2 linked regions of the Cricetulus griseus genome follow. The protein of the gene in region 2 binds, or shares a complex with, the protein of the main gene of each other region. Links are inferred from orthologs where the notes say so. Each region holds a gene or a part of one and is shown on either strand. Other genes may lie near its edges.

The links. The genes of interacting proteins can lie anywhere in the genome.
Region 1: Ppp4r4 (region 2) and Ppp4r3a share a complex: the UniProt entries of both Homo sapiens proteins name them as parts of the PP4 complex. The link is inferred for Cricetulus griseus from reciprocal best matches to the Homo sapiens genes PPP4R4 and PPP4R3A.

What each region holds. Positions count from the first base shown.
Region 1 is NC_048598.1:104,697,381-104,700,941, forward strand, and holds part of Ppp4r3a (serine/threonine-protein phosphatase 4 regulatory subunit 3A), read left to right. Parts: intron 1-118; coding exon 119-196; intron 197-310; coding exon 311-427; intron 428-2,388; coding exon 2,389-2,544; intron 2,545-3,561. UniProt on the Homo sapiens protein: Regulatory subunit of serine/threonine-protein phosphatase 4. May regulate the activity of PPP4C at centrosomal microtubule organizing centers.
Region 2 is NC_048598.1:191,010,557-191,014,117, reverse strand, and holds part of Ppp4r4 (serine/threonine-protein phosphatase 4 regulatory subunit 4), read left to right. Parts: intron 1-698; coding exon 699-843; intron 844-1,603; coding exon 1,604-1,645; intron 1,646-1,737; coding exon 1,738-1,812; intron 1,813-3,139; coding exon 3,140-3,209; intron 3,210-3,561. UniProt on the Homo sapiens protein: Putative regulatory subunit of serine/threonine-protein phosphatase 4.

The DNA of each region.
Region 1 (3,561 bases), about 86 Mb from region 2:
ATGACTTTTTCCTTTTTAAAAAAATGACATCTTTTATCAAGCTAGTTTATAGCATGCTGAAATTGTATTTTATATAGTCTTGCCAGCAAGATAATTAAATTTATCATTTATTTCATAGGAAGATGAAAAATTTCTGACAGATTTGTTTGCACAACTGACAGATGAAGCAACAGATGAGGAAAAAAGACAAGAATTGGTAAGAAATCATACACTAGAAGGGTAGAGAAGTGGAATAGCCATTTACACTCAATTGATTCTCTTCTAATTTAAGATTGACCTTTTTAATACTTGTCCTTTTTCCTGATTTCAGGTTAATTTTTTAAAAGAATTTTGTGCATTTTCTCAAACGCTACAACCCCAAAACAGAGATGCTTTTTTCAAGACTTTGTCAAATATGGGCATATTACCAGCTTTAGAAGTCATCCTTGTAAGTTTGCTTCTCTACATTCTGAACTGCCCAGGTGAACCATATCAAAAACTGGATGTGATATTGGAGAGTTTTATTATTTGAAATTATAAAATTGTATCACTTTTCCCTTTCCTCCTTCCCAGGCACCTGCTTGTGTTCTCTCTCTCTCTGTAACTCTAAGTTAATGGCCTCTCTTTCTTTAATTATTAACATATATATCTAAGTACATAAATACAGAAGTTTTTATGAAGTAGGCAAAGCATTTGAGTATAGCTGATATTTAGTGCTAGCTGTGTAGCATAGAGTTAACAGAAATGATACAAGTCCAGTATTAGAGTCCTCCTTTGTTTAACTAGCAAACTGCTTTTGTTAAAATAATTTTTTGCTGGATGTGGTGGTAATACACATTTAATCCCAGGTAGAGTTGGGGAAATTTATGTGAGTTTGAAGTAGCCTGTTATACAAAGGATTCCAGGACTTTGAGAGCTATACAATTAGACCTTGTTGTACATACATATGAACATACATATAATAATGTAATCACATCTTTAATAATTAGCTTTATAGCCTATCAAATGAAATGTTAAAATAAAAGGACATGGTTGAGAATAGTGATTCATGCCTTTAATCCAAGCACTTCTGGTCTCTTTGTGTAGTCACCCAGGACTACACAAAGAAATTAGATCTTGAAAAATCATACATTACACAGACAATTATATACATATTTATAATTCCAGCACTAGAGAGGCAGAGGAAGGACAATGGGTCTCTGAGTTTGAGACCAACCTGTTCTACGGAGTGAGTTCCAGGACTACACAGAGAAGCCCTGTCACCAAAAAAAAAAAAAAAAGGTTTTAAATATATCTTGAGGATGGGGAATGGTGCCGCCACTAAAAATGGTACCTATGCAAGCCTGATGACTAAAATTTAATCCCCGAAACCCATGTCAGAAGCAGAAGCTGGATGTGGGGTGGGTGGGTATGTGGGGGGGAGGGAGGGAGGGGAGAATATGATCCCAGAACACACAGTAAGGTAGGATTCTGAGGCAGATCTGTCCAGAAACTTACAAGACAGCTAGCCTTGAGTATGCAGCACTGCAACAGATCCAAGGAAGACCTTGGCTCCTCCTAAGATTTGTCCTTTGACATTGCTATGTATGCTGCCTACTTGGGTATCAATCCGTGCTTCCTTCCATTCAGTTTGAGAGAGGGTCTCTTGCCTTTTGTTGTTATATACTGCATGCTAGCTAGGTTAGTTGCTTTCATGGAGTCCCCTGTCTTCACCTCTAATCTTACCATAGAAGCACTGGGGCTACAAATGTGGACACTGTCATCCCTGGCTTTGCATGGGTTCTTGGGATTTGAACTCGGGTTTTTAGGCTTTCTTGGTAACTGCTCTATCCAGTGAGCAATCTCCCTAGCCCTTAGATAAATTTTTACAATTCTGACCATTTCATACAGTGTGTTGTGATCATGGTCTCCCATCCTCTTTTTCATTCCTTTCCACTTTAGCTGATCCCTCTCTTTGTCCTAAAGCATCCCTACTTTCCGTTTTGTTTTTTTTTAAACAGGGTCTCTGTATAGCACTGACTGTCTTGGAACTCAATTCTGTAGACCAGGCTGGACTGAAACTCAGAGATACACCTCCCTCTGTCTCCAAAGTGCCAGGATTAAAGGTGTGGGCCACCACTGACTGGCTCTCATTCCTATCTTACTTTCATGTCTTTGTTTTGTTTTTTGGGACCCAGTGGTTTTAATTAGGGTTGCTTATATAAGTGAATGTGGATAAGGAGTTGTTTGCTAGAGCATCAACTTACCAGTGGCTACACCACCAGGAAAGTGGTTCCCCCTACCAATCATTTAGATGTTTGTTTTATGGTCTGGTGCTTTGTGACAATTTCTTTTGTCAGGTTTTGGATAATTTTGTTGATAAAGTTCATGTTTTTATAATTGTAAGAGAATGGCACTTTTTCTATGCAGGGCATGGATGATACACAGGTGCGAAGTGCTGCTACTGATATATTCTCATACTTGGTTGAATATAATCCATCCATGGTACGAGAGTTTGTCATGCAGGAGGCACAACAGAATGATGATGTAAGTAAGAAGTTAACAGAGCAAAAAATAACCAGCAAGGTAAATATTATTTACACTAATAGTAAGTATTTATGCATAGAAGACTATAGCTGGGGTTATGTATTTTTAAGATTTAAACTGCTGCTATTTGGGAAGTGTAGCCATAGTGTTAGGTGGCTCATTTGTCCCCTTAATTTGCTCCTGCCTTAGTTTATAAATTTATTGTATTTGATGTCAACTTTTAAATTATGAAGCTGACTTGTCTATATTGTCTTATTTAAACCCTTAAATCAGTTGACCATTCTGTTTGTGGAACTGTAAGTAACTTTCACTGGAAAGCATTTAGACTACTAGAGGTGGAGCCTCAGAATCAAGAAAAAATATGGCCCTGAAATGTATTAGGGAAGTGTTTCTTTATAATAATAAAAATAAGTTATTTTCTTGTACTCTCATATAAGCTATGGTGGTATTTACTCAGAAATTAGAATAGGTAAATTGGCTTTAAAATCTGTTAGCCTGTCTTGGCAGTGTAGATTGAATTTGGTGGGACATAGTGTATGTAGAAGCCCTGGATGTGTATGAGCTTTTCTACTTCACTCTACTAAACCAGTAGTTCTGTTTTTTCTCCTTCCTCCCAAATTTTACTTAAGAACAGATTCAAACCGTCTCAATTTCCTTGAGAAGAGGAAATTTATGTCTCCTTTTAGGGGAGGGGAGTTTGCAGAATTTCAGCTTGCAGTGTTTCTTGCAAAATGAAGCATAACATTTTTAAAAATCTACTATTCCACCAGTTTGAAGTTGAATGCCTAGTAATTTCTATTTGTGGTTCCTTCTTAAAATTATAGTGGTAGACTACGTGCAGAAATGTACCATGAATTATTGAATCATGATCACATTTTTCTTCTATGAAATAGTCCTATCTTGAGAACCAGACTATCTTGAGTAATTAAAGCTAAAGGCTGTTCTCTTAGGCCCTGTAACCACTGGGTGAGCAGACATGCCGGCCTGTGCATCTTCACACCCCACGAACATGCATTAGGCCTCTGGATTTCAGTTACCAATCATTTCCATATAGTG
Region 2 (3,561 bases):
TCTGGCCCGAAGCACCATTAGCTCTTGTTTGGGGTTGTCTCCATCTCTTTCCTCCTCTCCTTAACCACCAGTCTAGTCTCAAAATGTAGATGATAATTAGGAAAGTTAAGTCAGATCACTTCACTCCTCTGCTCCTGCCCTCCAATGATTCCTATTACATTTGAAATAGAAGCCAGGCTCTGCACAGTGACCAATAGGGTCCAGTATGAGCTGGCCCCTTGTCACTACTCAGGTCTCCTACTAAGCTCATCTTTGCTATATTTTGCCCCACGGCTAGTTTACTAATTCAGACTATCACTAGGCAAGCCTTCCCTATTGGCCATAATACTTTTCCAGACACTCAAGTGTCTTGCTCCCTGATTTTCTAGGTCTTTCCTTAAATACCATCTTTTCACTGAAAACATTATTAATTTCTCTAACACTGCTTTCTAGACTGACTCACCAGTTTCTGGCAGATGTTATCTTTATATGCATTCTGTTTTCCATGCCCCAAACTAGAATGCAAGCCCCCAAAGAGGATTTTGTTGGTTTGATTCAATTTTGTGTCCTGGTATCCAGAATAACAATGACTTATAAATAGTAGGCACTGCACACATATTTTGCATGGGCAGTTGAATTCTGAGTTTTCTAAAGCCTGAACTTTTTCAGTTGCACATTCCTATTACTGTTAGTTACTATTAAGCTCACTCTAAATACAGAATGAAACTTTGCTACCTGCTGCCCAAAGTGAAATCAGCTCTGAAGATTCCTGCAGACATGCATCTCCTTCAGCAATTAGAGATGTGTGTGAGAAAACTCCTGTGTCAAGAGAAAGATAAAGATGTCCTGGCTATTGTGAAAAAAGTAAGTGTCCCTCCTGCTTATAACACCTGTGTCCTGCAGTATGGCAGTGTTAACTTAAGCTTGATAGGATAACAATCTGCAAGTGTGGTAAGAACTAATAAATGACAGAGGGCATTTTTTAAGGGGCATTTTTGTTATTAGCAGTATGAGCTTGTGGGAGAGCTGAGCACCTTTGAGGTATTTGTGAGCCTGGCTCAAATGATGACTAATTCACTAGATTTTATTTCTAAGTGTTTGCATGGCAATAAAATTCCGGAAGTCATATTTTCTAGAAGAGTGTGGGAAGACTCCCTCAGAGTGAATCCAGTAGTCTGTTTGACTTTGTAAAGGAACTAGAGCTAGAAACACTGGCTGCTGGAGAACATACTAATAGGTGGTAGGGCCAGCATCATGGAGATCTGGCATCACCCAAGTACATCTCTTTCTAAACATTCAAACTTTATGCCATATGATTTTGCTCTAGCATGAGGATCTGTTTTGTGGATTGTGTGGAAATGTTGAAAAACTAAGTAAAAAATTTGGGTTAGTGACATCAAACCTTAAAATGCTTCAGCTTTCAAGAACTGACTTAACATGTGGGTGTGACTTTGGAACACAGTTTTTGAACATTTATTGGTGGTGAAAGATTAGCTTATTAATACCAAAGCAAAAAGTGTTCTCTTTGAATACCCCTGGGGAAGGAGTTTCTTTTAGAAATACTTGGCTGATTGTGTTTCATTACTGTTGAACCAACTGTAATTTCTAAAAACTTTCCTTGTAGACAGTATTAGAGTTGGACAGAATGGAAATGTCTATGGATGCGGTAAGTACACTCTACTTTATAGTAAAGAGATATTTATAGTCATCAAGAAGTTGTCCCTAATGATTGACAATGTTGTTTTAAATTTTAAACAGTTTCAGAAAAAAAATTATGAGAAAGATTTGTTGGATCAAGAGAAAGAAAGAGAAGAACTGCTCTTTTTGGAAATGGTATGTTGTTCCCACCCACATACTCCTTTCTGATTAGTTTTAGATGGGCTTTGATAGTAAACCTAAAGCTAATTTATTTCAGCTTTACATTGTTCCATATTTCCTAAAAGACTGAAGAAAAGTCTTGATTTTCTGAAGTTTTATCTTTTATAAATTGGAAGAAAAATTACATTTGAGATTGTTAGGAAAATGAGTTTCTTAAGTGAAACTAGTATGTATTTATTCACATGTATCCAGTCTAGACGATATATTCCCACCTACCCTTGACATCTGTCCTCAGCATCCATTGAGTTAGTTTCTAGCAAGAGCATGATCATGTTTTCTAGAACTCTGTGGCTTTAAATATCCCTGGTGTCAAAGATACTAAGCATCCTTTTGTTTGCTTATTGGCCATACTATCATGTTTTCTATAAAGTCCATTTTGAAAATTTAGAGTAGGTTGTTCACATTCTTATTAAGAGCTCTTTTGTCACATGCTCTCGTGTTGTGAATATTTTCTTGAACACTGTCTTCTCTTGGTGTATTTAACAGTCTTTTGAAAGTTCTATCCACTGCCTACTGCAAATACAGCAGTGGGCAGTGGCTGCCTGTTTAAAGGACTAAAGCCAGGCCAGGCTAGTTTGATTTTGTTGGCAATATTCCACTCTCTCCAAAATCACAAGCTGATGGTCAGTCAGCCTTTCAGAACCTTTGGTGTGGAAATGTTGTTTTTCTGAGGTTGTTAGTTCAGAGTCTTAAGTTTTCTCTCTATATCTTGCTTCAATAAGATATCTTAAATATGTTTGGTAGACTTTTCCCTTTCCTCTCAGTCTTTTGTTTGTTTTTTTATTTTGCTTTTTGAGACAGGGTTTCTCTGTATAGCCCTAACTGTCCTGGAACTTGCTCTGTAGGGCAGGCTGGCTTTGAATTTATGGAGATGCACCTGCCTCTGTCTCCTGAGTGCTGGGATTAAAGGTGTGCCCCACTATAGCCCCTCGAAGGCCTTGAAGTCTTTTTAAAGAAAGATATTTTGTTGTTCGATAAATAGGAATTGAAATAACCATGGTTAAACACATGCTCTGTTGATGAGAACCAATAAATGCTCATTGTAGAGTAATGCCAAAGTCATTGTTTTAGTTGGAAAAACTCCCAAGAGCAATATTCTGTGATATGACATACCACACATTAAAATAGCAACAACAGCACACCTCTGAATTCTGTACCACAGGGGAGCCCCGTTTTTTAAAGGCATTTTTGTGAGGTATATTTGTGTCTCTAAAGCTGAGAGTCATTTTCCTCAGAACAAGCTCCCAAGCTGCACCTGTAACATGACTCTGTGTCCCAACAGGAACAGCTAGAGAAGGAGAAACATCAGAACGATGGGAGGTCCTCCAGTGAGAAAAGCTTTGAGAAGAAACGTAAGTGGTTCTGTCTATTTCCTCTCTGTTCCAGGATTAATGCTGGGTGACTGGGGAAATCCAGGTCCCTTCTTGAGTCTTGTTAATACAGGAATTTAAAGATACATGTGAAGGGAAGCTCAAGAACAACTTGATTGGTTTTAAAAGAAAAACCTTGGAGTAGGCAAGCTGTTCATCTAGGTAGCTTCCTGGAGGAGTGGGACGGAGAAGAGAGAGAGAAAGAGTTAAGCAGGAATGGGGGACAGGAAGGTATGTGGTGGGGAGGGGAGCTTTGGAGAGAGTGAAGCCCAAAGCATTAGGGAAGCATGCTGAGCAAAGCAAACCTGTGAAGCTGTGTGCCTGCAGCTCTCTG